Oreochromis niloticus: one gene and its partners. The protein of the gene in region 1 purifies or fractionates together with the protein of each later gene. This does not show direct contact. Links are inferred from orthologs where the notes say so. Each region holds a gene or a part of one and is shown in the gene's direction. Other genes may lie near its edges.

Region 1 (7,659 bases):
GTCACTTTCAATCTGAAATGTTCACACTGGACAAATTTGAACTCAACAGTATGTAGGTGTTAAATTATTTGTTATGTAGCATATAAATAATAAAATGATTTCCAGTTGCAAAATATACTGTATATCATATATAAATTCATGAATCCAAACTTTTAATCCCATAACTACTTTTAATTAAGATGCTTTTAATTTTGATTATACGGTTTGTGTACCATTAAGCTACTTGTGTAGGATTAATACTTACTCATTTAAATTCTTGTTTTTCCGCTTTCCAAAAACCGTTACTGGCCACTCCAACACTCAAAACAAGAGAAATGACCCGTGACAATTTTCTGAAGCTTAAGCTAACAAGAAATAACCTACGTAAGAGAAGACCAGACAAAATGTAGCATTTGACCTTGAAAAATGAGACGTGCAGTTTCATGACAAACTGATCAGTCATCTTTAAAGGTGCAGTTGACATACTGTATTTGTATTCAAGCACAAATTCTGGGTTTACTTTATCAAAATAGCTTTATTCAGAAAAATTTGTTCTTTACAAGATGAACCTTCATTGAATGGTTGCTTTAAATGCAACACACTTCGGTGTGATGACACAGATCTTACATGTTTTTTCCTAAAATTGAGACAATATACACACATTCAGGATGAGCGGTTCTTTTTTGTTCTCAGTTTCTACAAATCACATATGCAAAGCCCAACGATATCCTGTGCATCACCCAACCAAACAGAGTAAAATATATGTTCTCTGACAGTATATGTTGTTGAGAAGTGGTAAAGAACAGGAAACAGGTGGATCATGACTTGTTTGTCTTTGTTGCTGACACCTGCTTATCTGTTTACAGTCTAACAGCAACTGTTCTGCATTTTATTTCATATCGTTTCTAAGCACTAAAAAGGAGAGACTTCCCACTGACTTACCTCAAAGACACTGAGTATTGTAGGAGATCATGAAATATCCCTTAAGACAATATAATTTGTGTCTATGATGACAGATGTTTTTTCTTAACTTTCGTAATGTAGTAGCCTCAGCTTATGAGGCAACCTTTCAAACTGATGAGAAAGATGTTTTTCATGATGTTTGCATCAATGTGATGAAGTAATCCGATTTGTCAACGACAGACAATTCAGATTGGAAGTTTTAGGCAACTGTTACCAATTAGATTTTTCAGAAAACACCATATCACAATATATCTCCTACTTCTAAGTCAGCTTTAATCGAGACAAGTAACATTTTGAACATAATACTGTAAAAACCTAAATAAAGGGCCAAAACATTTATTGTTGTTCTTGCACTGCTGAAACCTGCAATCCTCCTCTAAAGCCCTCAAAGGTAATTATATTGAGGAAGTCATTTATTTTTATACATACTATTTTTATTTTATTTTATCGCTCAATAATCCCCTAATACATTTGAATACATTACTGTGTACAGCTTTTCGGTTTTTTGTTACTTCATTCTAAAAGCCTAAAAAAATACTATAAACATGGATCATTGTGAGTAGACTTTTAAAATTATTTTTATTTATTTATGGACTTATTGTGGCATTGTCAGAAAAAGTTGACAAAGCATTCTGAATCCGGCTCTACTTATGTCAACATGATCTGAAAGCCTATGTAACCGTTTTGTTTTTTGTTGTTTTTATTTTATTTTTAAAATCCCATGTGGGTTGCTTGTATATAGCAGCATATAGCTTCATTCAATCTTCATTATTCTGAACAGAGCAGTTGGTAAACACCAGTGTGCAGGATGGCAGCAGGACAGCCAGTGTGCGACGCAGACCTGGAATAGGATCGTTCATATCTGCCGTCTTGTTCTCATCGCTGCTGCCATCTGCACCTGCAGCTTCTTCTCTGTCCTGCTCTTCTTCCTCACCACCCTCCCCCTCCTCTGCTGGTGGATTCTGACGAGGCTGGAACCTGACGTCCACAAACTCCAGCTGGCGAAGTCCACGGAGCATCCTGCAACTCCGGGCTATCTGCAGCTCGCTGAGTGTGCAGTCCCACAGGCGCAGACGTTTCAGGTCTCTCAGGCGGCTGGCGCAGAGCAAACCTGGACCCACCTCTTTTCCACCAAGACTTAGCTCCTCCAGTCCAAGCCAGCCAGCCCCCAAGCCAAGGGAGGCCATATGTAACTGGTAGCCCTGCCGCCCTGTAATGCCTATTTCCAGAAACTTGAGCCTGGAAAGCCCTTCTACACCACAGACACCATCTTTGGCAGCACAGCTTCTAAGCCCATTAGCTGTTACGCGAAAGGTGTCACGTAGCTCTAGACGACAGAGCCTCTCCCATGATGTCAGACCCTGCAGGTGCTGGTCTGTAAAAGAGGGCACATTGTTAAGGACTAACCTCTCAATACCAATCCCTGAAGGAGAGCCAGCCCCTTTTCCTTTCTGGTTCCTTCCTTTCAGTTGAGAACCAACACTGGATGTGGGTTCTGCTCTTTCTTGGAGACTAGCTGATGAAGTAGGCAGGGTCTGATTGAAGAAGCCACGAGGCAGCTCGCAACCCCGCAGCTCCAGCACCTGCAAAGATGGAGGTAGGATCTGGCAACTGGGCAGGCTTCTCAGGTCTGCATGCAGAAGATAGAGTTTACTCAGTCGAGGGCATTTTGTGGACAAAGCTTTAAGCCAAGACTCAGAGAGAAAGGTTCCGCCACGTGCGGACAGCAGCAAACCACGCAAGCGAAGGCACCTTAGTCCGCAACCCAGGTACTGACGCAGCAGGACCCAAAGGATGCGGGATGTCACCTAACACACAGTGGACAGTCCATGAATATGTGTGTGTTGAGAGAGAGAAACAATAACTGTCAATAACTGCACAAACACACAACCCATATGTTATCAAAAGATGCTCACAGTTTATTTTTAGAGCATATTTTACACACAAAAGCATTTGCTTTACAAGGGGCTTTAAAAAGCAATAGACAATTTTATTTACTATCAAAGAAACTAAAATACACACACAATAGAAAAACACATACTCGCCAGGAGAAAATATTAGTAGACGGCTGTTAAGAATAACTAGTAACAGCTCAGAAACTGTCAATAGATGGCCTAAGACTCAAATCAGCAGCTAGGTTGTTGAAACAAAGACATGTCAAAACTAAAGCAGGCTAATATTAAGCTCCTGAAATAGCTTTCCCAAAGCTTCAACATCAATCGTACTGAAAATTTGTAGACTATGTTTAAAAGCTGGCTCTGTGCCAGGAAACCAACCAATTTAAATGAACTCGACCAATTCTGCAAAGAACAGTGGTCAAATATGCAGCCACTGTTGCACCAGAAGCTTGTCGATGGCTACCGAAAGTATCTAACTGAATTGCAACCAATATTTATATTAACTAAATATTAGTTGGGGTTGTATGTGTATATTTGATTCAAACTTGTGCATCTAGTTTTTCCTCTTTAAAGGCATTAAAGATGCGTTCTGTACAATTATTCCACCCTGGACAAAGAACAGTTCAAAGAAATTATGAAAAGCCCCAAATTTCTATGTAAAGAGCTTGGAAAGAAAAATGGCTGGACTTCTTTAAGTTTCTTGAAGACATTTCACCTCTCACCCAAGAAGCTTCTTAAGTTCTAAGACCAAATGGTGGAAAGTCCCAGGTATTTAAGCTCTAGTGGGAGTTGTCCCTTAAGACGGTCGTTTGGTCTTAGAACTGAAGAAGCTTCTCGAATGAGAGGTGAAATGTCTTCAAGAAACTTAAAGCAGTCCAGTCCCTTTTATTTCCAAGCTCCTTGGATTACCATGAGAACCTACACAGACCCAAATTCCTGTGGCATTCATTCATATAAATTTCTCAGCACAACTGTATAAGTGGGCCCGTTTTGAGACAGGAAAATCCGGGTGTTGTATTTTTATTTGATGACACAGATGAAACCAGTGCTGATTTTATGTGAGGGGATATATTAAAACATGAGTCAACAGCTCCTAGTCTTTCATCTTTATAAAAAAAGAAAAAGAAAAAGAAAAAGCAGAAGTTATCGCTATGGGTTTGTTTCTTTTATTATCCCCAAGTAACAGACTAGATTACTAAAAATGGCTGGCCTGCATTAACAGCAGAAACGAAAAATTATGAAGCCACACTGGCAACAACATCCTTACCCCTTTCCATGAAGTCAGGTCGACATTTCTCCACAGTCTTTGGTCTTTAACAAGGCGTTTCCACCTCTTACATACTCTAAAACCACAATTTAAAATATATAAACATATACACAAATCACATAACAAAAGACAAAACAAACGAAAACCTGAGTTTTGTTTTAAACGACGAATAACTAGTAAATCCTTGAGAGCAAAGTTGAAATCCCCTTACCTCCCGGCTCTGACGACCTCTCGTACGTTCAGGTAAGACAACACATCGATTAAAATGTTTTCGGGAAAGTAGTCCAGATTGCAGCCCCAGAATTCATCCATTTTGTAAACAAAACTCTCAAACCTCACACACGGAATGGTACATGGACGCACACGGGTTGCGCCCGAATCAGCAATCCCCCGGAAACACCGGTCCACTGACTGTGTGACCGAGCGGCCGCTGGGCAGAAATCAAATCAGCTACTTTAAGCTCAACACAACATTCCCCGACCCAGACAGCCTATGTTTCTATAAACCCGTCAGGTTTATGACCGTGAATATGCGGCACGTTTTGTTTTAAAAAAGAGCCCCACGAAGAGCCACTTAACGTCCTTTGCATCAACAGTCCACTGCGCCTGCGCGGATTACCGGACAAGATGGCGACCAGCAATGGTGGAGGAATGGAAGTGGATGGGGCAGGCGAGTATTTATCCCTCATCTCATCGTTTCTGTCCACATCAACCAAAACCTGCGTGCAGGTTGCCGTATATGTTGTTTTTGTGTGTTATAAGTGAGCGGAAGTGACGACTCCGTGGTGTTAAGGGGTCGTAAGGAGCTTGCTCGCTGACATAAGCAGGTTAACGTACTCAGCTCTGTGAAGCTGTCAGTACATTCATCACTGTGGATGTTTGAGGCAGTCCCCTCTGCTCTGCCACAGGAGTTTGCATCAGAAATTCGAAGTAAAATCTAACATCATGTGTAGTTTGATTAAAATGCTGTGGCAGTGCTGCAACACCAACCACGTAAACATTAGCTGTACATGAGGGGAACCGACATGCAGGCCTATATCTGTGTGATTAGTTACACATACATTAAAATGACTGTATGTAGCGAGCATAGGGCGACCACTCAGAGTCGAGAAAGTCGCGTTTTATTAATTTTATAAACTGTGTCATTGGGCACTCACTGACTGATCTACCTGCTCAGGTGTCCTGTTGGGAAACTGTGGAACTCGTTTTATGATTGCATATGCTATATAACTTTTTAGGAACGATCATGAGACTGATCTTTTGTGCCAAACTAAACAGATGATTAATGCCAAAAGGATATATCCAGTCACTTATTTTGAATGTAAAGAAAACTGTGTATGCACTGTTGCTTGGCTCTGAAGCTAAGTGACATAGATCATTGTCATCAGCTACAATCTGAGTGTAAATAATTTCTCTTATTATTTTGTCTGTTATGCATTGGTTATACGTTATTGATTGTTTTGGGTTCATACTGATTTACGGCTATTGATGTGTCTCTGCTTATTTTCTTGTGTTTCACATATACATGCAGTTTGATTAGACGTATACCGAAACAGGACTGATCCATTGTTCATTAACTTTCCAGTTAATGTGATAGGAGCATATTAATCACTTTTGGTTGATCACTGTTCCTTTTTTTCCTATTTTTTCAGTAATTATTTGGATTTGAAGAAGTATTTCCACTTGTACCTGGTTCATTTAATCTCAAATCACTGTTGCCCTTTTGCACAACTATCTCAGATTTGCCTAAAAAGGCAATGGTCCACAGATTGGATACATATTTATTGCTGTGAAATTTTAGCTTCATATATCAAATACTTTTCAAGATGTATTCTTTTCAAAAATGGTCCATCGACACATTTTCATTGATATCATACGAAGGTAAAATTTTACAGCTTGGGACCATAAAATTCTAAGATGGTTGAGCAGAAAACCCATGGTGATTTGAAATGGAATGATCCCTTTGTCTGGCTTTCCAGTAATTGTTTGAATTTGATAAAGTGCTTCCAGTTAACAAGTTTTTTGACTTTTTTATATTGTCATTGACATACTGTTAATCCCAATCTTATTTGTGTCTTTGTATGACTGTAGCCAGCCCCAGTGTTATGGCCTCAGGGGTCACTGGGAGTGTTTCTGTGGCCTTACACCCTCTGGTTATCCTAAACATATCCGATCACTGGATACGCATCCGCTCGCAGGAGGGCCGACCAATGCAGGGTATGTGTGAAAAAACAACACATTATCCAATCACATATTTATATATTTTGAGCTTACGTGCATTGGAATAAAAGTCTAAGTTAAAGATAAACATATGCTGTTGTGTTTGTCTCTCTGCTCAGTGATTGGAGCTCTGATTGGGAAACAGGAGGGTAGAAACATTGAGGTGATGAACTCCTTTGAGTTGCTGTCTCACACCATAGACGACAAAGTGCACATTGACAAGGAGTACTACTACACCAAGGAGGAACAGTGTAAGTTTTCATCAAGTCTTAAGGACAATAATGCACATATTTGTGTGTGCATCTTCTTTGATGACTCAGTTGTTCGGTAGCTGGAGTTGTGCTAAAATTAGTAACACCGGTATAATCATCATTCAGGAGATCAGTTCACACATCAGCTTGTTGGATGTGTTTTTCTAGACTTTAGTTTTGTCCTTGCCTGCTTTATTAAATTGAGACATTTTGTATCTGTGTTCTGACTTTCTCACACAAAGAACAATAAACAATACAACAATTGATAAGTCTTGAAGGCCAGAATGGGACTCTGTAGTTTTGGCGTTTCAGTTCCCAAAGAGTACCGATACATTGTTAATATGTCTGGATGGGCAAGGAGTAAAACATGTGAAGGGAGGTTTCTAACACTTGACCAAGAGATGGCAGCATTGGATCCAGTTCTTGAGCCATAAGTAAATGATTTACACACAAGTCTTTTGGTCAAAATTACATAAAAACTACCAAAACTCTCATTCTCTGCCTCTTATTTTGGATTTTGTAATTTTGTTTTCAAGTCGGTTAAGTTGCTGTTAATTTCCAGAAAATCAGAACAGGCCTTATAATAAAAACACAACTCTTTATGAAGGCAGTTGACTCACAGTCGTGCAGACTCTGTAAGAGTTTGCAGAAAAGCCTCATAAAGCAGAGTTTTTATTTATTTAGTTTTTTATCACGTTTTATTAAAATGACAAAGACTTAAACCTGTAGTTTGTTTTGTAGGTTCACTATATTGTTTTAGTTCGCTTTAGTTAACTGCTGTAACCTTGAATAAAGCGGAGCATGAGCAAAGCAAAAAAAAAAAAAAAACTCTTCAGTTTTCATGTAACTATGAGAGAGTTCATTGATGATTATGTTCTCCAAGCCCCTCTCAGATATGTATTTATTAGTAAGTCAAGTCATCAGATCATTTTTGTCCTTACATTGTCCTCTGGTCTCTCAGTCAAACAGGTCTTCAAAGACATGGAGTTTCTGGGCTGGTACACCACAGGTGGTCCTCCAGACCAGTCAGATATCCACATTCACAAGCAGGTAGGCAGACACTGAAGCCCACTGACAGGTGG
Region 2 (7,034 bases), on another chromosome or scaffold:
GGTTCGGTCTTGTTTTTATCATTTAAGAAATGTGGCTAAGCTAAGCCCGATTTTATCTCGCTCTGAACTGGAGATTGCTATACATGCATTTATTTCCTCACACTTGGATTATTGTAACTCGCTGTTTGTGTCTAAGCAAAGGTTCTCTGGATCGTCTGCAGGTTGTGAAAAACGCTGCAGCTAGGCTTTTGACTAAATCCTCCAAGTAGTCTCATGTGACACCGTTGCTATGTCAGCTACACTGGCTTCCTGTTAAATATAGAGTCCATTTTAAGATCCTGGTCTCGACTTACAGAGCTGTGAATGGACTGGCACCAGCCTACATCTCTGATCTGCTACAGCCCGATGTCCCCAGCAGGTCCCTGAGGTCATCTGATCTGGGCTTACTTGCTATAAAAAATACTAAGTGGAGAACTAAGGGTGATGGAGCTTTTGCCACTGTGGCCTCTGGGTTGTGGAACTCTCTCCCCCAAACATTAAGAACTGTGGACTCAGGAGTTGTTTTTAAAAAACAACTCAAAACTCACATTTATAAACCTGCTTTTGGTTAATTTTTGCCAGTTTTATATTGTCTGTTTTACCTTTTTATTATTTGTTATCTTATGTGAAGCACTTTGTGACTCTGTCTAGAAAGGTGCAATATAAATAAAATTTTATTTATTTATTATTTAGTACAGGATTGTAGTATTTGAGACAGGTGTACTGATGATGTTCTGTGGCGCGTTCAGGAGGCGGTGGGAGCATCGGTGCTTGGAGCTCTGGCCGGACCGGCGCTCCTGTCCCAGCAGCTCGGAGGCCTCCCTCAGGCTGTCATGGCCCACCAGGCTCCAGGTGTCATCACAGGTAGGAACACCTGAGCCCTGTCCACACACATACACATACACACACACACACACACACAGGCTCCACCCACACGACATCTCATCTTGAGTTTGGGGCAGTCTGCTCCGCCCACACGTCTCACCGCTCTTTATTTTGAAAGCAGGCTCATTCAAAAATGCTAACCAATCAAAGGTGCTCCAACAGGTATCACTTCCTGCTTCCTGTTTCAGGTGTGACCCCAGTGAGACCTGGCGTGCCTCAGGTGGGCTTGGTGAACCCTGTGCTGGCCACGCCGCCAACACAGACGGTTTCCTTTGGTGCTGATCCAAAGAAGAAAGAGGAGGAGGAGCGTCAGCAGGAGGTGCAGCAGGACGGCGCCATGGAGCCGCTGAGCGAGCAGGAGCACATGAGCATCAGCGGCAGCAGCGCCCGACACATGGTGATGAGGAAGCTGCTGCGCAAGCAGGAGGTACGCTTCAGTCCCGCCCACCCCTAACGGCGAATCGCTGGTTCTCTTGGTCGTGACCTGTCGTGTCTCCTTTCAGTCCACCGTCATGGTTTTGAGGAACATGGTCGGCCCCGACGACATCGATGACGACCTCGAGGGCGAGGTCACCGAGGAATGCGGGAAGTTCGGCCAGGTGAAGCGAGTCATTATCTATCAGGAGCGTCAGGGCGAGGAGGACGACGCCGAAGTCATCGTCAAGATCTTTGTGGAGTTCTCAGAAGCCGCCGAGATGAACCGAGCCATCCAGGCACTGAACCACCGCTGGTTCGGCGGCAGGAAGGTGGTCGCCGAGGTTTATGACCAGGAACGGTTCGACAACGGGGACCTGTCGGCATAGAGCACGCTCGTCGGGGAGCGTAGCATAGCGGGCTCTTTCTAACCTGTCTGTTTTTCATCGGTGTTTGTCTCCAGGGAAACGTCTCCGCGTCCTCTGCTCCAGTGTTTCTGTGCAGGGTCAAAGGACGAACCAGCTGCTTCTCATGTTTCAGCTGCTCGCTGCCTCGCCGTTTCTTACAGCCACTGCTTTCCTAACATGATATCCTTCGTTTCCATGGTAACAGAAACGGGACACAGAGGGCGTAAGGTAAAATGTACCATGAGCTCTGTGCTAATGTTTAGAGCTCATCTGATTTACATGGTCTGATATCAATTTGTCAGTAGTTTCAATTGAGTGATGTCACGCTCTACTCCACCCACTGTAGACGGTGCCTGTGGAGCCGCCCTGCTGGACAAACTGTGTAATGATGAGTTTCATTTACTGAATTTTTTTTTAAAAACGGATTTTGGATTGGCGCGATTAGAAACGTTGTCGATCGCGTTCTACTAACTGCCACGACCATTCTACTTAGAACGCTGGGCAGGGCAGCGGCGCCAACGCCCTGAGAGCGAGGCGTAAAGATGAGGCCGTGACGCTTTGGTTTGAAACACACAAAAAATCACCAGCAGGAAGGAAAAACTGGACCTGACGTCCAGGAACCAGGATCCACAGATCAGTAAGTCGATCAGTAACTTCCTGTCTGGGTTCTGACCCAGTTACACGGCCGCGGTGCCTTCAGGGACCTTCTGTACAATGGTGAGCCGGCCGGAGCTGAAACATGAAGCAACTGTGGACCAGATGTGACGTCACCTGTGTTCTTCCAGATGTTCAGCCTTTTGTTCGCAGCCTCACAACAGAAACACCTGGAGTCTAACAAACTGACTAAACCTGAACGCACCACAGCATCATCCACTCTCAGGCCGTCTCCCGCTTGTCCCAAGGAGTCACATGATCCTGGTCTCTGAGCGACTTTGAGCCTCAGAGGCAGTGCTGCGTTCAGGTGCTCTTCAGGGTTTGAAGGTCAAACACCGAAACTTGTGAATAAAACTTCTTTTTTTTCTGCTGTTTTGTTTGTGTGAAGCTGCTCTCTGATTGGTCGGCAGTTTGAGTACAAAAATCTGTTTGATAATAAAAGAAAATAGAAAGCAGACGAGGTGTTTGAGTACAGGAAGTAATCAGCTGTCTACTGAACGTTCAGGAAACACCTGAGCTCACCTTCATTCACTCTGGAGGAAGAATCATGGGCACGGCCAAAGCCTGCATTCTGTCTGAAGGCCACCAGGGGGCAATAGCTGTGGTAAGGCAGCTTTCTGACCTTTGACCTGTGTAAAAATATCCTGCTGAGGTTGTGGGCTCAGTTTTAGGTCACACTGGATTTCAAAGTGGTGAAGCTGCATGCTCATTGGCTAATGGCCAGGAACCTGCTCACTCCAACCACTCGACAGGTTGCAGTCCAGGGCGTTAGTCAGTGAGCATGTGGGTTCACAATCAGGCCCGCCCCTCCTTGCCACCTTCAGGTTTTTGCAGCCAAAGTGGCGACCGTGGAAGCACCCATCATCAGGTGACATCCCTGAGGCCAGACTGTATAAGAGACTGTAACATTACTTGCTGCCATGTTTGTTTCCGGTGGTGACCATATTTGGAGGACAGGGTGGAGTTGTCAGCCAGTTGTCTACTAGCTAGCTAGCTTAGCATACACATACACCTTATCAGTAACATCCAATCAGAATCCTTACATGGTCACAGCAGCAATCTTATTGGTCAGATAATGTCATCAAACACAGTTCAGAGGTCTAGCTCAGAGACTCCAGTTAGCTGAGGTGAAATCTAGCACCTACAGCGAGTTTTGTCACCATCTACCTGTCAGTCAGAGGCCACACCCCTATCAATGCAAACAGGTGAGTTAAAAATGTGTTCTTCTCCCTTCTGTTGAATCCAGTCATTGTTGCAGTTATGAAGGGGAAATTATCTACAAAGGCCAAAACATTTGAATTTTAACACAGGAGTCTATGAGGACTGACTCAGTGCTCCCTCTGCTGAATGCTGGAGGAACTGCAGGCTCGGATGGTTTCAGCGGGCTCAAGATCGGTTTGTTAGTTTACTCTCTGATGTGTTCAGGCTGTTTATCTCTCAGCCAATCAGCTTTCACTAAATAACTACGCTGTTGTGCTCCCAATCACGGCTGCAGGTCACCAATCATAAAGTCATTATTCATGACATCATATCAGATGTCACTGCAGTCACGTGAGCTCATCTGATGCTCCTCAGGGCCAACACCTGATACATTCATTAAATCCTGACAAAAACAAACATTAAGGCCTAATAAATGAGCAATCACTCATCAATAACTACAAATGAAAGGCTTTAGAAGCTTTTATTTTGAAGTTTAATCTCAGCAGAAGTGCTCCCTCTTATTGTGAAAGCGGCTTTGACGCTGGGTACGGCGGCTCGCAGGGTCCAGTCCGCGCGCTCCCGCTGACGATGGGCGACGTCCTGTGCGAAGAGCTCGAGGATTTGGTCCACTTCTCAGTGCACGACCTGCCGGCACGAGGTTTTGTCGTCATGGAGGAGATCCGACGTCAGGGGAAACTCTGTGACGTCACGCTCAAGGTGAGCGAGGCGGCGTGTGAGGCTGACATTAGCCTCCAAGCTAGCAAAGTGAGCTAAGGCATGCTAACAAGCTAACGCGGATTATCAGATAGTGACGTCATGGGCTGACCTGTGAACTGCCTGGGAGCCCCACAGGCAAGGCGGCGAAGCGGCTTCCGGTTAGAGCGGTCAGCTCTTAACACCGGGGCTGGAGGTCAGGTGTGTGATCCACCTGGGGAAAGGTAGAGGTTGTGTGACGTGCGCAGGTGAGCTCAGGCAGCACAGAAGGGGCGGAGCCTTTTAGCAGCGTTCTGGCGTGTGCAGGTGAGCAGACACGTGATTGCTCTTTGTTCCAAACATGTCCGCCAGGTGAGGGAGGGGCGGGACCTTAACTCTAACCCCTACAGCAGGAAGAAGCTCTCGGTGGCTCCACCCCTCCCCATCAGGGCCTGGCTCTATGGTAGCAGTTAACAGAGCTGGGTGCTCATTGTCAGCATCACATGATCCAGGTGTGCTTCTGAGCTGTTCAGAGGTGTTCAGGTGCGACTGAGAAACATTTTCACCTGTGCTGCGTCCTGTGCCTGCAGCTCAGCATTGATCCTCTTAACGGCTCAGTAGGCAAGGTGCTGAGTCTGCAGCTCAGGTGAACCCACGTCAGAGGCAGCTGTTTTCCAGAACTAATGGTGTCCTCCGGATAAAGCAGCACATCCTCACCTGTCCACTTTCAGGTGACCTGCAGAAGTTTATAGGAAGTCAGACCGATTCAATGATGCAGGCAGACTTGGCTGGTTGGATGAAGGACTTTGATTGGTTGCGCGTTAAGCTGAAGCTAGTGGAAACATCATCGATGGCGCCAGCTGGTCAGCTGACAGAGTTAAGCTGAACCCTGAAATCTACTTCCTGTTGAAACGCTTGTGTTTCAGAGGGTGAAGGAACGCAGCTTTACCTTCATGTAATGATGTCTGCCGTCATCATCTTGTTGTTTTACCTGATAAGTGAGGGGTGGGGCTTAATGTGAAGCCATAGTCTTATTGGCTGTCTAGCGAGGAGTGGTTCTGTGAATGTTTAAGGGCAGTAAATCCAACACTTCCTGTGACACATCCCTCAGATGTAGCTGTTTTCAGTTTTTTATTGTCGTCATAGCAACAGGTGAGTCACAGGTGAGTCTGTTAATCAGCGTGTCTGTCTGCAGGTTGGGGATCACAAGTTCAGCGCTCACCGGATCGTGTTGGCGGCCTCCATCCCGTACTTCCACGCCATGTTCACCAACGACATGGTGGAGTGTAAACAGGATGAGATCCTGATGCAGGGCATGGACCCCAGGTACGCTCACACCTGTACAGATGTCTGAGAGCAGAATTGTAACTGGCTTGTGACCTCGGCAGAGGTGGGACAACCTCAGTAACATCAATGTCTCACTGTTTTCCACTAAAAGCTTCCAAATGTTGCTTTAACACGGACTCGGCCTGATATCAGCTGTGGTGACGGTCATGATTACAGTTAGCTTGAATTTAACTTTTTAACAGTGTTTCCTGAAAACCCTCTGCTGTCTGATCATTTCCTGATAACATTTACATTTACAATAATTGATTACACAGCAGTGGAGAGTAGACTTTATCACAGTAGATGTCTTTCTGAAAGTGCTGTAACTAAGTTTAAGAATATAATCCACCCACTGTTATCATCTTCAATGCCCTGTACCAACATAGAGCAGAGCAGCTATCTGAACGCTACTCCAACAGAGGTCGATTATCTTGTTAATAATTTTACCTCCTCACTACGTACGACTCTGGATACTGTAGCTCCTGTGAAAACTAAGGCCTCAAATCAGAAGTACCTGACTCCGTGGTATAATTCTCAAACACGTAGCCTAAAGCAGATAACTCGTAAGCTGGAGAGGAAATGGCGTGTCACAAATTTAGAGGATCATCATTTAGCCTGGAGAAATAGTTTGCTGCTTTATAAGAAAGCCCTCCGCAAAGCCAGAACATCTTACTATTCGTCACTGATTGAAGAAAATAAGAACAACCCCAGGTTTCTCTTCAGCACTGTAGCCAGGCTGACAAACAGTCAGAGCTCTACTGAGCCAACCATCCCTTTAACGTTAACTAGTAATGACTTCATGAACTTCTTCACAAATAAAATTCTTATCATTAGAGAAAAAATTACCAATAATCATCCCACAGATGTAATATTATCTACAGCTACTTTTAGTACCATCGATGTTAAGTTAGACTCTTTTTCTCCAATTGATCTTTCTGAGTTAACTTCAATAATTACTTCCTCCAAACCATCAACGTGTCTTTTAGACCCCATTCCTACAAAACTGCTCAAAGAAGTCCTGCCATTAATTAATTCTTCGATCTTAAATATGATCAACCTATCTCTAATAATCGGCTATGTACCACAGGCCTTCAAGCTGGCCGTAGTTAAACCTTTACTCAAAAAGCATCTCTAGACCCAGCTGTCTTAGCTAATTATAGGCCAATCTCCAACCTTCCTTTCATATCAAACATCCTTGAAAGAGTAGTTGTCAAACAGCTAACAGATCATCTGCAGAGGAATGGCTTATTTGAAGAGTTTCAGTCAGGTTTCAGAGCTCATCACAGCACAGAAACAGCTTTAGTGAAGGTTGCAAATGATCTTCTTATGGCCTCTGACAGTGGACTCATCTCTGTGCTTGTCCTGCTAGACCTCAGTGCAGCGTTCGATACTGTTGACCATAATATCCTATTAGAGCGATTAGAACATGCTGTAGGTATTACAGGTACTGCACTGCAGTGGTTTGTATCATATCTA
Region 3 (7,350 bases), on another chromosome or scaffold:
TATTACCCAGAATTCAAACTCTGACGAGAAATGATGCTGAGTTTTTTAGTTATTGAGTTATATTAAGATGTGGAACATTTTTATTTACCATTTAGAGACATTTGCTTCTATTATTTTTGCCAAGAGTTAGATGAAAGGTTCACTAACCCTCTTGTATTGTGCATTTCAATAGGAAATGATAGTAAGTGGCCATTAAACTTAATTTGTGACCTCAAAAGTAATAGCACAGTTGAATTGTGCTTCAATTTACATGCACAGTGATCCGGTTAATGATCAGTAGTTGTTATTTCCTATTTTAATTGTACTTTTTTTAGCTTTCAGAACATTTATAGTTTATTTATATTGTCTGACATTATATGGAGTTGTGACTGCCACAGTGTTTGCAGTAACTGATAACTTAGTTAACTATCTAACAGGATAATGTTAGCTAGGATTGCATGCACTTTATTAACTTTTTTATTTTTGTTTTCTGTTTTAAATACTCAAGTGGTTCATAACTAGCAGCTTTTCTCTGGACCAGGTGAAGGCAGGACGTCATAAAATGCAGGAGTGTATTCACAGAGAAGGATATTAAATAAGTCACTTTGATTTAACAAACTAAATAAACTTGTTTTTGTTAACCCATATGAAATTTTTGTTGTCATATATATGTTATACAGAGTCTAATCTTCAGTGATAAGGATACATATTTATCCTGGTATGACATATTTTTAAGATATTTTGAATGCTAACATTTTGCTGTGGTCTGTTCCTGCTAAAAGAAAGTTCTTCCTCCCCTCTTTCACCATGTCCTTGCCCACAGGCTCATCATTCTCTCTTTAATATGGCAGGATACTTATCTCACAATATAAAGCACTTTTAGTGTTCGATCTGTTCAGTATTACTAAAAACTAGCAAATGAGTCCATAAATAATCGCTAAAAGTGTTTGCCGGATCACACATTTCTTCATAACCGGACTTCGATTTTCAACCACAGCTGTCGCCCCCTAGTGACCATAAGAATAAAGCTATTTTTTCATTTACAGAGTATCAGTCCTCGCATGAAAATCTCACCATCTAGAGCAGCGGTCCCCAACCCCCGGGCCTCGGACCGGTACCGGTCCGTGAGTCGTTTGGTACCGGGCCGCGAGAGTTGAGGCTCAGGTGTGAAACGTATGGTTTTCAGGGTTTTTATCGGTTTTCAACGTTATTTTGTTATCGTTTTTATCGTTAACTCGGTTTTCTTGGGTCTTTTCACGTGTGTTATGAATAAATCTTCTTTTTTTCGGTACCGGCACTAGTTTTATTTTGTTGTATTCATCCGCGACACCTCATTGCCGGTCCGTGAAAATATTGTCGGGCATAAACCGGTCCGTGGCGCAAAAAAGGTTGGGGACCGCTGATCTAGAGGGCAAAAAGGTTCTTTTTCTATTCCTTCAAGTCATCCTTACAGGCTTGAGAGAGCGAACCGTGCCAGCAGCCTTTCTCTGTCCTCCTCAGCGAGTAATCCCGGTCGGGCTGGCCGGCATGAGGCTGCTCAGAAGGGGATGAGAGAAGGATTCCAGCTGGGTGTTTATAGTCAACATGAACGGCATTTTAAGCCGATCAGCGACGTGAAGGACGAGGCGCGCATAGATCCAGACCCGAGCTGAGCCGAGCCAATGTAAAGCAGCAAAACGACTTGGAGCCCTTACATTGTTTTTATTTATTTTTGTTTTTTTAATCCTTCTTTTCTTTTCTTTATTTTATTTTATTTTATTTTATCTTAATCTATTCTGCACATTTACTCCTGCATGCATGGCCATTTTGACTTGTTGCCCTGATCATTTATTCTAGGATAAAGAAAAAGCAAAGCGGAGCGGGATCTGTGTTTTTAAAAAGCAGCAGATATTATAATTATAATAACGATGACAGCACAGGCGCTTACCTTATTACACGGCCGCAGGTCTCCGGCGCCTTTAACTGATGATGTATGAGCGGCGATGATGATGATGATGATGGTGGTGGTGGTGGTGGCGATGCTGAGTAAAAAGCTGCAGCGTGCGGACCGGGAGGCCCACGCTTGCTCCCTCATCCTCAGTCCGGGTCACAGAGCGCCGGGTGTCCGCTGCCTGGAGCCGCAAACACGAAGCGGGCCGCACGAGAAGAGTCCCTATCATTGATGCTCCCGCCTGCTTGTCTCACCTATTCTCCCCTCCTCCACCCACAACAGCGTCAACAGGCTGATAATAAAAATCGTTTCCGGTACAGGTTTTCAAATTAAAGCTGTCTTGTTACGTCCTATGAACCTCAATTTTTATCACAACACCTTTGTCCTGTGTTTATTCTCCAGGGTTTTACAATGTGTGGTTATTATTATTATTTTTAATTAAAAATCTATGCAGTGCACCGGTGTCCTTTTTCTCAGTAAAAACTGTGTAAGATCTTAAAATAAATGTCTCTGAATATTAGTTAGTGAAGAGAGTTAATCATTAATGTGAATAATGAGATCTGCATCTGATGGAAAAAAGTTTATAATTTAAAATACAATAAATGTAAAAATATTTTCTAAACATTTATTTAGTTTGTAATTTTCTCTCTGCAGCATTACAATAACTAGTTATACCTAAAAATAAAGCACCGTGTAACAAGGATTCAACATTTTTAAAACTGAACTGTCTGTATTTATGGGTCATTCTACATAAACTCCGAATTGGCGATGGTGAAATGTCCTAAAATTGATTTATTTTTCTAATGTTTACACATAGATCATGTTATAACATAACATGTTCACTTTAATATTCACAAAAAAGACAGATTAATGATTTTTAATCTCTTTTTGTACATCAACTTACAGACTGGATGGTGTTACCTCACTCCTTCTGCAATATAAAAGGCTTTTGATAAATATTATTTCCTCAGTCTCTTCAGCACATGTAGTCGGACTTGCATAAGAATACTCATAATGCAACAAATCAGGGGATTATGTTTTCTTATTTTCATTTGTTAAGTGTGATTGCACAGTGTTTGTTCATTTGTGAAGCCATTTATTTGCTATGCAACTGTTATAGTGAGTAGTGTCACAATCCTTTTGATGTTGACCCTTAAGTGTAACAGAAATCAATGGATCTTGTACAGTTTGGCAGAGTTCATTTGCTGTGACAATGGAAAAAAAATTCCCCAAACCCCAAAGCACAGTAACATCAGTGACACAATAAACCACCCAGGGATTGGGTGGAATTGATTTAGACACAGGATTAATAATACTAATAATATTACTACTACTACTACTACTACTAATAGTAATTATTATTATTTTAAAACTTCATGAAGAGCTTTCGATTAAGTTTTTTTTTCTGTTAATGGTTAACAGTGGTGTTAGTTAGTTGTAACAGGTCTGTTGTGATTCATAATCAAGGTGATACCAGTGACAACTTCTATTAATTTTTTTTTCTAAAATGGCAGCTACAGGGCATCAAACCACATGTTGTCAGTCTTGTTTTTCTCACAAAATTTCTTTCTTCTTTCTTTTTCAGTTCCCTAACAACTTCAACTAAAAGCTTCATATGAAATTATGCTATAAAAAAAAAGGTCTGAAAAATGAAAAGAGATACTGGACTCACTAGACCAATTTTTTTGCAGAGCTGCAGGAAACATGTTACAGGAAGTCATTAGATGTCGGCACCGCGGTGTTTTCCTTCAAAATAAAAGGCTTTTCTTAATCAGCAACGCCAGTGACACAACTCCAAGGTACCGTTACTTTGTTTATATACTTTATAATATTTATTTTACATTTTGTTTTGTTATGTTATGTTTGTCATATATGTATTATTGCAAGACACAGCATTGTTGTTTTTTTTTAGTGCTTCATGGACTCAAGGGTTAGTGTTAAATGACCTAATAAGTGGAAATCATTCTTCTGTAAATAGGTACAAGAACTGGACTGAAAATGATTAAAAAATCAGCCAATGTCCAAAGAAAAACTTAGATAAAAGATATTCAGAAATCCTGGAGAACTGTTGCTCAAGTCCACTTTAAAAATGACAAGAAAGTCTGGCTCCTTGGAACCAAAATATGAAGAAATTATGGTCAAGCTGAGGTGACCATAGCCAATAGCATCTCTTACAAAACCCCAAATTAAATTTTATTTAATTAAAAAAACCTAAATAAATATTAACGACTAACTAATCAAAATTAGCCAAAGTAAATAAAACAAGTAATTAGAAATAAATGAATAAACAATAACAACAATCAATAGCCTAATCAAAAAGTTGATCAAACATTCAACTTATCATTAATTTAAACCATGTTATGTAATTCTACTAATGACCTGCTGGGGGCAGTAAGGTGTCTTTGATACGCCTAATCTGCCGATAATTCCAATGGAAGAAGAAGACGCATATGATGTGGGGTGCAGAATCAAAACAGTTAAATTTGACAGCTCGACATTGTCCCTCACAAGGCTCGTAAAATGTTATGAAAACCTTCCTGGCAGGCTGAGAAACAAACCGCGATATTCAACCAACATTCTCAGAAAGTGGGGCCTAGTTGTGGAGGAATGCCATCGCGGGGAAAAGCTTCTTTTGGCCGGTTTATCCGGGAGCGGTAGCAGCGCCTCTGCAGCTAGCTGATTAGCTTCCCAGCTCCATGGCGATCTACGGGCTGAACATTACCATATATAGACCGGGCACGGAGCTCCCTGGCCGGTGAAATGTAAACGGCCACGGGCTCGGGAGACTGAGAAAGGGAAAGCAAAGACAAAACTCAGCCTGAGAGACCAAAACCACCATCTTCACCATGTCATCCGAGCAGATCATCGCCATCATCATGGATGACAAAACCTACGAAGTGAATAAAAAGAAGCTGATCGAGAAGAGTGACTACTTCCGAGCTCTGTACAGCTCGGGGATGAGGGAGTCCACGGAGGACTCGGTGCAGCTGCAGGGGCTCAGCGTCCTTGGATTGGAGCTGGTCCTGGAGTTCATCAACACCTCCAAAGTCCAGGTAGTCAACGAGACTCTGGAGGACCTGATCGAGACCGCCTCCTTCCTCCAGGTCACCTCCATCCTTAAGCTCCTCACTTCGGAGATCCGGCTGGAGAACTGCGTGGAGCTGTATAGCCTCTCCGAGGTGTATGGGACTCACGACCTGCGTACCGCCTGCCTCAAATACATGACCTGCTACTACCACCCCATGCTGAGGCGGCCTGAGTTCAGCAGCCTGGCCTCTGCTGTCAGGGACCAAGTCAAGGAGATGCGCATGAATGGCACTGCCACCCTGGTGGCCATCGGAGACTTCACCAGCCTGTCCCTGGATGTGCCGGATCAGGATGAGCCCTGGTCCATGCTGAGGTATGGAGAGGTGGATCAGCGCTGGAAGCCCCTCGCCAATAACCTCCCTCCAGATATGATCAACGTCAGGGGGTATGGGTCGGCCATCCTCGATAACTACTTGTTCATAGTCGGCGGGTACAGGATGACGAGTCAGGAGATCTCCGCTGTGCACTGCTACAACCCCTGCAGGAATGAGTGGAACCAGGTGGCGCCGCTCAACCAGAAGAGGTAACACAAGTCCCCTCTTGGTCCTTATTGGTTGTTTGCCATCGCGTTTCAATCACTGATTCTTCTCGTGCAGGTCCAACTTCAAGCTGCTGGCCGTACAGGGAAAGCTGTACGCTGTGGGAGGCCAGTGTCTGGGCACAGTGGAGTGTTACAGCCCTGAGCAGGACTGGTGGACCTGCGTCTCCTCGATGCCCGACCCGCTGGCTGAGTTCTCTGCCTGTGAGTGCCAGGGTATGATCTACGTCATGGGTGGATACACTGCGAGAGGTGTGTGTACAGGAGCTACAGTAACATATACACTAACACGCCAACACAGTCCGACAACAGTTTGGAGAGTAACTGTGAATTTTCATCTAGTGATTCTTTCTCCTTGACATGAACTTTGACCTGCACTGACTTGTGTCCATGCACACCAGATGAATAGTTTACTTTTTATTTTTTAAGGAGCAAAAAAGGCCCACATTTGGAGGTTAAAGGTGACATGAATCATTTCACAGCAGAAACCACAGTGTGAGTCCTACACAAGGATGATTTATACACTTCAACTGTGGTATTTAAAATACATAGATTTTTACATATCTGTCATGTTTTAGATCATCAAATAAGTTTTAATAGACATGATAGACAAAGATAACCTGAGTAAATACAAAATGCAGTCTTTAAAAGATAATTTCATTTATTAAGAGAAAAAAGTTATCCAAATCTACCTGCCCTGTGTGAAAAAGTAAATATGTTAACTATGTTATCTATGTTAAATCATAGATTAATTGTGATTAACCGCATTTTTTAGAAAACTGAGTTCAGTTTCACTTAGCCACACCCAGTCCTGACTACTACTTTTTCATGGCACTGTAGTTATAACTCCTCCAAAAAGCCTCTGAGAAATGAAGGGAAAAAACATAACTTAATTCCACAGAGTAAAAACTTCCCTGATGGCGGTATGGTATCTTTAGCCTGCGGTTAGTCTCAACAGATGGCTGCACCTCACAGTGATTCTGTTGGAGAAGACTTCCTGGTAAAGGGAGTTCTTCCTCCCTGCTGTCGCCATGTGCTGCTCATAAGGGATCATCTGTTTTTTACTTTTAGTGTCAGGTAACTGGAACGCTTATATCAAGGCAGGCACGTTTTACTGAAAACATCAAGATGTCTGTTTTGTTAAGTTTAATCGTCACAAGGGGAAAAAAGTAGGCTTAAAATAAGGGAAGCGAGAGAAGAGGAACAAACAGAACACAGATACCCAGGATAGTGTCTTTTCCTTATACTGTGAGGTGACTAAGTAAAAAGTGAGTTAAACCGAAAATGACTTTGTGTGAATTCAGATTTACTTTTGTTGTATTGTTGCACCTCCTCTCAGTTGGCTGTGGTGTTTGTCACGTTGTCCTTGTGTTGTTTTGTCGCTGTTGACAGTTTGAAGTAGATGTTTTACATACCGTTAATGCTTTATTGTAACACTGTCACAGTGCTGTACAAGACAACAGCACAAACAGAAGTGTATCCATCCCTTTCTTTGTTTTCCGTTCCTCACTATAAAAGATTTGGGATTATCCAAATCTGATCGCGTTTCCACACTGCAGCTTCTTATGGTGATTTGTTCATAACAAAGTCTGAAACATCCAGCTTCACCCTCCTTTTTGACTCTAATGGGACCACAGTTTACAAAACAAACATAATGTGCTTTGCAGCCATAAACTCATCAGCAAAGTGTTTACTGAGTTCATACTAAGAGGGAGCCGAGGACCTTTTCTCATGCACTTCTGTACAATTTAACAATCTGCCCCCTGCTGGCTGCTAGAGACGCAGGCTTTGCTGCACCCACCAGAAGTTTTTGGAT
Region 4 (7,890 bases), on another chromosome or scaffold:
AAAATGAAAATTGAAAGTTTTACAATGTGAAATGAAACCGCCAAATATGTCCTCTGTTGGTGTCATTTCCTATCAGGAGCTTTGTCTTAGTGGGAAGACGGCAGCCAACAGAAACATTGGACATAAAGTTCTGGTTTAGAGTTCAAGATACTAGTTTGAGTCACTTCAGTTAAAAAGAAAACGTATACAGCACTGTTAGATCACCTGTTAGAAGTGTCTCGGTTCATTTTTCCTGTCAAACACATTGCTGAGCAATGGCTGATTTAGAAATTGAATGTGTAATAATTTAAGCAGTAAGTAAGAAAATTCTTGAGAACAGATATTCTTCTTTTTTATCACATCAGCTCATCATGGAGACGCCTGTAATCACTCCACCGCCCCCAGGGGCCCTGTTTGTCTACGGAGGAAGTGCAAGAACATGATGGCTTTGCACCACCAACAGCCTCATACTTTTGAACACAGTCACAGCCCTGGTGCACATTCTTTTATTCACATTTAGAGTAACACCCAGAAACTCTGGCACCACAATAATGAAATGATTTTTTTTTTTTAAACAACTTTTAAATTTATTTTTTTCCTTTTTCATTTTCAGTTAAATGTGGTCTGTTTGTGATTTGTTTAGCTAAGTTTACTTCCTGTTAAACTTAAACTAGGCTACTTTAAAAAGCTTTTACTTTTTATAACTTTGGAAGCAAATAATAAGAGAGGCAGTGGGTATTTGCGTATCCAATGCGTATTTGTTCATATTTGTTCATGACTGACAGTCAAAATGGCTATGTGAATTGTTATTTGAATTTGTACCAAAAGTCAGCATACAACACGGGTCTTGGGTGACTTTTCATCAGTGTACACTTTAGTCGTGTTCACCAGTGCCCTTGTTTCATTTTTCGAAGATAGCCCATCAGCAGATGACAATGAAAGAGCCATTTAAAATATGGAGCCCACTGACACACATGCCTTTTGCAACCATCGTCAAGTGGCCTACAGCTGCGGGCTATGACTATCCATTGTTTGGCCTGTTATGCCCTGGGTTTGCTTTAACTCTCTTTTAAAAATATTAAAGAAAAGCACATAGACACTGATGGAGCAGACAGTGCAAAGCATAGCACATGTACATGGGTACATGGTACAGTTTGTGAGACAGAGCCCAATCACTCATGCGGATCCATCACTACAAAAAACATATCATCATGATGATTATATCATGGTGACAGCTCATTTCAACCAAAGTGTATATAATTTGCTTTCAGTGCCTAACTATTTGATGTCAGCTAACAAATTATAAAATGTATTTATGTTCATTTTTTTTGTCTATGCATCACGTCACTGTCTTTTTATGGTGAATGATTAACAGTATCTTTGACTTTAATCGTTCGTTACTCTTTCAACTAGATGCAGAAAGATCTAATCACATGCCTGAGTATGCTGCTGAACAGGAAGTGCTGCTGTTACAGTAACGTAGGAGCACAGAAAAAGTATAAATATATTGGTAACCTAGGCATGCTTTAATTATATTTGTAGGCACACCTACAAATACACATATTACACCAAGGAACACACTTTTGATTTAAAACATTAAATTGGTATGCTTTGTTTTATTTTATTTAACTCTCTTCCTGGCCAAGACAGTGATTTGTAGTCAGGAAAGCAAGAGATTTAAATAAAAATTAGCTTAAAATTAGCTTATTACACATGTCATATGCCATCAAACTAAACAGCAAGCCGCTGCACAAATGTAGAGTTTCCCAACTAATGGGTGGATCAAAGGCAGGATTTTATCAGATCTCTCCAGAGCCTTCAGCTCCTGAAGGGTTACTGCATGAGCAAGGAAAAGTCTATTTGGACGATTTCTTAGTGTTTCACAAGCCAGAGAGGTTTCACACAAGCTAGAGAACTTTCTCTCCTATCCAGAAAAAAAAAGAACAAGACACTAGAACAGGACACAGAAAGTGAAACATCATCTTCAGAATAAAAGAAATGGGTGAAGCTATCTGTCAGAGGCCACTCCACGGCTTTAGTGACACTTATCTGTTGGACCCAAAGCCAAATAAGACAGGACACAAATAAAACTGTGTGTAATAGATGGAAATCATCTAAAGCTCGCTTTAAGCTGGAAATCCTTAGAATTTGCGGTTTTATTTTGAAAATATGGAATAACTTGAAGGGAAGATCTCACCTAAGTCTTTAAGAAAACTGGAACAGGCTTCTGTACCCTAATTACAGTAGTTCCTTGCAGGCAGAACAACAAGATATAAAACGCCCTAATAAAGCGTCCACCGTTTCTCTTCCATGTATTTAGGAACCCTATTTAGAATTGCTACAGCTTGATCTTCTTAACACGGAGCTGCAAACATGTCTTTGTCCACTTTCACACATTTTTGATTAGGCGTCCTCTTCCACCAGCGGAACTACTTTGCTTCTCTAGCAGTGGTTATTGGGCAAATAAACTTAACCTCGACTTTCCTGGACTCCACTATAGGTTTAGCTTATGGCATGCTAGTGAACGCATGAATTTGGTTTCACAATATTTTTTGCAGTTTTTCTCAATGTTACAAGTAATTCGTAAAGTAGCGCATAAAATGATGGGTGTACCTGTGACATTTGTGGCCTGAGATTGATCTCCTTTAGGTTGATAGTGTGGGGTCTTAGGTTGTTGAGCAGCTGGCACAGCAGCACCCCGTCCCGCAGGGTTTGCGCCAGGTCGAACACCTGCGCCGTGTCCGCAGTTACCCGGTGGTTCGCAGGCAGCACGTTGCAGCTGATCAGCCACATCGCACATTGCCTCCAATACTCCATGTTGGCGAAGAGCGGAATAAACCGCAGGCCAATACCAAATTTAAAAACTTTGTCCGCTTATTAAGTCTGTGCACGGCATGGGGAAGAAGCTGCGTCCTGAGCCATCCGCATGTCTCTTCAAACTCCAGCATCGCCTCTGGAGGACAGACGAGCCGCTACAACTTATGAAAGCTGCACACCGATGGGGGTGGCTGTTCTGAAACCCCCTGTGTTTGAGTGAACTTCCTCTTCCTTATTTTGTAATCTTTGCGTTCCTAAGTCTCTTATTTTGCTTGTTTGTTTGTTTGTTTACTTAGATATGTCCCTTTATTTGTGAAACAGTCATGCGCAGAATTTAACGAAACAAGCTGTGGAAAATTAGGTCTTTGTAAGGCGTCTTTAACACATGGACAACTGTTTAATCATATGTCTGAGGCTGTGCAGAAATGTTCTCATGTTCGCCACATCTCTGTGAAAGAACATTGATTTCACCCTTTTTTTAAACTTTATAGTTTCTCTACTGAAGTTGCAGGCAACGGATAAAAAAATATTCATATTTACTTATAGAGTTGCTGGTTTCTTTGTATTTGAGGCACTGTCAGTGATCATTCGCATGTTTCAATTAGAGCAAGGGGCACTGGAAACAGGTTTAGTTCTTATGTCACCATAAACACCACTTGAAAAGTTAGACGACCGCAGTCAGTGCCCTATACTGGCCAGACTGCTGTGCACTGATATAGGCAACAATATAAAAAGACGCGGCTTCCATTATTCATCAAAGGTGTGGGTAGGAAATTTGTCAGAACTCAATAAGCATGCGTGCAGTTATCAAGGGTCGCGATTTTTATGCAGTGATAACGCCAGAGTATACAGTAACCTGCAGGGGGCGCCAGAAACGCACAACCTTTTTTTCAAAATCCTTGTGGATTACAGCCTACTCCACATAATTATCATATTATGACAGTTGTGTTATTTGTGAGCCCGGGCTTTGTGCACACATACACCTTGGTCTTATAGGTGAAAATAAAAAAAAAAAAGTCCCAAAATTAAAAAGTCCCAATCAGCCACATGTTGGCACTGAAGTTCCCCTACTCCGAAGACTTGGAAATTTAAGGCTACCATGATGGATTGAAGCTAATTTACATTATGTGGAAAAATGAATATGGATAAACTGTGCAACATTCACTCAAAAGTCGTTCCTTCGAGGTCTCCTCACAAGGCATCTCGGTGAACTGTATAAATGAATGAATAAGCTTGTGCTAGTATCAAACTGAACTTGGATCATTGCAGTCTTCGTTTTGTGCTCTAAAGAATGACATATATCATGACATGGTGTCATTCAAGGTTATCGTTTAATCGAGAAAAATTTATAGGTTGGGGGGGTGTACAGTTGAGACTCAACTTCTTACACAATGTCCACCTGATTGAGTAAGTGGGTGAATGAGTGTTTTTTTCGGGGGGGTGGTCTTCTTTTTTTTACTGGTTTGTTGTATATTAATATGAGCTTGTAGCCTCCGGTGTTATTCTTGCTGTTTTCAACTGGTCTTGACCTTAATAACTTTTAAATTTTGTTTGATAGAAAAACATTTAAATGAAATAATTAAATAATGAAATAATTAAACATTTGCAATTTCTTTTCAGTGTTTTGCAAATTATCTGCGCTTTGCTGATGTTCAATAAATGAAATGTTCACTTACAATAAATATAAACTAATTTTATGTATTATTAATGTGTTCTTATTTGTATTATTATTATTATCGTTATTATTACTGTTGCCAAGGGAAAAAAAATCGTTAAAATGAACTATAACTTGTTTTCATTCACTAGCTTGTATTGCATTCCAGTCTTATATAATTTCTCTTTGTGTGCTGTAGAAAAGATTCTGACTGTTTCTTGTATTGTAATCAGTCAATATGACCCATCCCAGTGATCTCAGCAACTACAGAACAAAAGTTTTTGCGTTTATCGTCTTGTTCATATTATTATTATTATTATTATTATTATTATTACTGTCGTTGTTGATGCCGATGGTTAATCTCTGCGTACCAAACTTCCGGTAGAAAAAAAACATGCGAGCACGAAACCGGAAATGTAACTAGAAAAAAAAGAAAAAGCTGAACCGTCAAAACATAAACAGAGCAGGCAATCTTATGTGAACGCAGCTAGCTCGCAATATAGTCTGACTTTTCAAAAAAGCTTTATGCACGCATTCCTCATGTCGTGTGTTTTTCGTCATAGAGTTCCTAGTCGAGGCACTTAGCTCATTTGCTGAGTAGCGAGGTGGAGCAAATAAATCTGCAATAAAGATTAAGACTAAACTAAGAAGTACGCCTCGTCGGGCCTTCGACTACAGGTAACGCTAGCTGTGCTAGTTAGCGAGTATAAGCAATGCTAGCCGCTTGTTTGCATTTTGACCAGTAGCTGGTTAGTTGTGCAGCACAACTTAGAAAACTGTGTTTTAGTTTCGACATTTGTTAGCCTCAAGTTTGCTAGGTAGCATTAGCTTATGGTAATAACTGTCAGGCAGTTAAGCAGTTCTTCTTTTATACAGGACAATGCATAGTTAAATATCACAAAGCAAAACAGGCCCGTGATTCGGCTAACAAACGACTTAGTTTGTTTATATCGTTACATGCAGCGGTGTATAGCTTGTAAAATTAGCCAGACTGTTAGTTTGGAAGCTACGGGGCTAACAGGTAACTTGTACCCTATTGCAAATAGTGTCAAGAGCTTATCAAATGAAAGCTGTGGCGTCGCCTCGTTTATTGCACACAAACTGTCCAGTCTGATTTTGAGTAGTTGTCAGTGCACCATTAATATTGTTTTTGTGTCCGACACTCAAAGGTTGTCCCTCGGGTCGACGCAGGACTTCACAAATACAATGGCCGAGGCTGACGGCAAATCCACGGTGCTTAACGGTAAACCAAGTCAATTTATATACTGATGACAGCAGTGCACGGTGTCATACTCCGCAGCAGTCAAAGTTCATCAGAGAAAATGTTTGGTTTTAATAGGTGGCTCTGAAGAACAGGAGCCTGGAGAAGAGCAACACAAAGAGGGGGATGCCTCTGGAAACAAAGAGGGGCAAACACAGTCTTCCTCTCAAGATGGTAACTCTTATAGTTTTAGTATGGTGGAAAAATTTCATAATGAATTTTTCCTGCCATATATGACTAACCATCTACATACATATGTGTTGCTTTAACCTTATATTGGGCTTTTCTATTTCTATAGCTCCCAAAGAAACAGCTGAAGCGTCTGGAGACAAATCTATGCCAGATGTAGAAGGAGAGACTGGCACAACCAGGGAGGGGGAAGAGGATGAAGACACAGACAGCATGGACGGCAGCGGCCTCTACTCTTTAACTGAGGATGGTGAAAGGGAGAGCGAGGGAGGAAGGCGAGAGAAAGCCAAAGAAAAAGATGGTGGGAAAAGGGCAGCTAGAAAGAGAAACAGACCTGGCGGCGGCACTAACCACTCCTCCAGTTCAGATGATGATGACGACGATGATGATGATGAAGAAGAACAGAAAGACGACGATGATGATGATGACGACGACGATGATGATGAAGCTATGGAGGCATGGCTCGGGGCAGAGCTCCGTGACATGCGTGGTCCTGTGTGGCGGGCAGTACCCTCGCTGCGCTCCAGAGAGATCGGCAGGGACTCACACCAGTTTGTGAGGCGCGTGTGTGGGGCTCGTGGCCTCGTGCAAAGGCTGGAGCTCCAAGGCCGATTAGAGAGGCATACAGGCTGTGTCAACACATTGCACTTCAACCCATCGGGCACACGCCTGGCATCAGGCAGCGATGACCTGCGTGTGGTGATCTGGGACTGGGCCATCCGTCGTGCTGAACTGGAGTTTGACAGTGGACACAAGAGCAATGTCTTTCAGGTAAAACACAAAAATAGGGCTACAGTAGAGGTTCATTATTAGTTAGTCCTTTCGTTATTTTTTCCAAATAAATGTCAGTAATAGTAATGAGTTAGAGTATTCCATACAGCAGAAGGAAAAATATGATTTTTTTTTTAATGTTATAAAAACTTCAGTTTCCTTGAAGAGTTCATAAGATAATGTTTAAATTATTGAGTAGTTGTTTAATATTCTCTTATTTGATTGTTTCATCTGTTGAGACAAAATAAGTAGCTTTCTGGGACTTTTTCTTATAAGAAACTATAATCATTTTACCACAGAAACAGTGATAAAGATGTAGAATGTGGAAAAAAGACTGAGTTAGAGACAAGCAGTAAATTGCTATTTGATGATTTATTTATTGTTTTTATTATTTTATAATAATCTGTTATTAAAAAAACAAAAACTTACAAGACAGATTGAAGTGACTAATTCATAAGCATAATTTAATCAAGTTAAATTGTGGTTATAAAATGCATAATTGGGCTCCCCCTGGCTTTAATTTAGGCAAAGTTCCTGCCTCACAGTGGGGACTCCACCTTGGCCATGTGTGCTCGTGATGGTCAGATCAGAGTGGCTGAGCTTTCTGCCACACAGCGCTGCAAGAACACGAAACGGGTCGCACAGCATAAAGGCGCTGCACACAAGGTCTGTGAGAGGAGATTTTTGTTTAAGACTCTTAGAGGCAGATGAATTATTATCATATCAATTTTTTGTTTTGTATTTTTTAGCTGGCCCTTGAGCCAGATTCACCTTGCTCCTTTCTGTCCGCTGGAGAGGATGCTGTCGTATTTGGTATTGACTTGCGTCTAGACCGCCCTGCCAAGTAAGAGTCAAGATTTTTTATTATCATTATGTATTCACATAACTGAATTCTGTGCAATGGCTCTCAGCTAAGTGCTACTAAGTTTCACATTCAGCTAGTTTTGTCACAGTGAGTGTATAGTGAGACTTGCTGTGGATTGACAAAACTGTCTGTCTTGCGCACCATGTGAGCAAAACACATAAACAGATAAAACATTTTTAGGTTGATCAGTGGTAATACTGGTGTTCTTTTTTTGTCTCCTTGTATTTTTGTGGTAGTAAACTGGTGGTTGTAAAGGAGGGTGATAAAAAAGTGGGGCTGTACACCATCTTTGTGAACCCAGCAAAGACACACCACTTTGCTGTTGGCGGGAGAGATCAGTATGTAAGGTATGAA

The links. The genes of interacting proteins can lie anywhere in the genome.
Region 2: the proteins of cops6 (region 1) and klhl18 purify together in Homo sapiens (affinity purification with mass spectrometry; 3 studies listed by BioGRID and IntAct, with this or other methods). This does not show direct contact. The link is inferred for Oreochromis niloticus from reciprocal best matches to the Homo sapiens genes COPS6 and KLHL18.
Region 3: the proteins of cops6 (region 1) and klhl42 purify together in Homo sapiens (affinity purification with mass spectrometry; 3 studies listed by BioGRID and IntAct, with this or other methods). This does not show direct contact. The link is inferred for Oreochromis niloticus from reciprocal best matches to the Homo sapiens genes COPS6 and KLHL42.
Region 4: the proteins of cops6 (region 1) and dcaf8 purify together in Homo sapiens (affinity purification with mass spectrometry; 3 studies listed by BioGRID and IntAct, with this or other methods). This does not show direct contact. The link is inferred for Oreochromis niloticus from reciprocal best matches to the Homo sapiens genes COPS6 and DCAF8.

The regions. Positions count from the first base shown.
Region 1 is NC_031966.2:16,067,128-16,074,786, reverse strand, and holds the start of cops6 (COP9 signalosome complex subunit 6), read left to right. Parts: upstream 1-4,651; 5' UTR 4,652-4,733; coding exon 4,734-4,776; intron 4,777-6,197; coding exon 6,198-6,323; intron 6,324-6,445; coding exon 6,446-6,577; intron 6,578-7,538; coding exon 7,539-7,627; intron 7,628-7,659. Other genes in the region: uncharacterized protein LOC100705850, read right to left, coding at 1,701-2,750, 4,108-4,183, 4,319-4,419. UniProt on the Homo sapiens protein: Component of the COP9 signalosome complex (CSN), a complex involved in various cellular and developmental processes.
Region 2 is NC_031982.2:34,538,919-34,545,952, forward strand, and holds the start of klhl18 (kelch-like protein 18), read left to right. Parts: upstream 1-4,017; 5' UTR 4,018-4,127; coding exon 4,128-4,256; intron 4,257-4,285; exon of another isoform or gene 4,286-4,559; intron 4,560-4,720; exon of another isoform or gene 4,721-4,735; coding exon of another isoform or gene 4,736-4,744; intron 4,745-4,781; exon of another isoform or gene 4,782-4,963; intron 4,964-4,969; exon of another isoform or gene 4,970-5,001; coding exon of another isoform or gene 5,002-5,109; intron 5,110-5,427; coding exon 5,428-5,558; intron 5,559-7,034. Other genes in the region: poly(U)-binding-splicing factor PUF60a, read left to right, coding at 729-843, 1,053-1,291, 1,368-1,667. UniProt on the Homo sapiens protein: Substrate-specific adapter of a BCR (BTB-CUL3-RBX1) E3 ubiquitin-protein ligase complex required for mitotic progression and cytokinesis.
Region 3 is NC_031981.2:17,144,519-17,151,868, reverse strand, and holds the start of klhl42 (kelch-like protein 42), read left to right. Parts: upstream 1-4,333; 5' UTR 4,334-4,755; coding exon 4,756-5,519; intron 5,520-5,592; coding exon 5,593-5,786; intron 5,787-7,350. Other genes in the region: UPF0577 protein KIAA1324-like, read right to left, coding at 1,907-2,053. UniProt on the Homo sapiens protein: Substrate-specific adapter of a BCR (BTB-CUL3-RBX1) E3 ubiquitin-protein ligase complex required for mitotic progression and cytokinesis. The BCR(KLHL42) E3 ubiquitin ligase complex mediates the ubiquitination and subsequent degradation of KATNA1.
Region 4 is NC_031982.2:23,773,097-23,780,986, reverse strand, and holds the start of dcaf8 (DDB1- and CUL4-associated factor 8), read left to right. Parts: upstream 1-4,873; 5' UTR 4,874-5,128; intron 5,129-5,619; 5' UTR 5,620-5,656; coding exon 5,657-5,693; intron 5,694-5,789; coding exon 5,790-5,885; intron 5,886-6,009; coding exon 6,010-6,671; intron 6,672-7,196; coding exon 7,197-7,337; intron 7,338-7,420; coding exon 7,421-7,515; intron 7,516-7,772; coding exon 7,773-7,883; intron 7,884-7,890. Other genes in the region: guanine nucleotide exchange factor VAV3, read right to left, coding at 2,593-2,796. UniProt on the Homo sapiens protein: May function as a substrate receptor for CUL4-DDB1 E3 ubiquitin-protein ligase complex.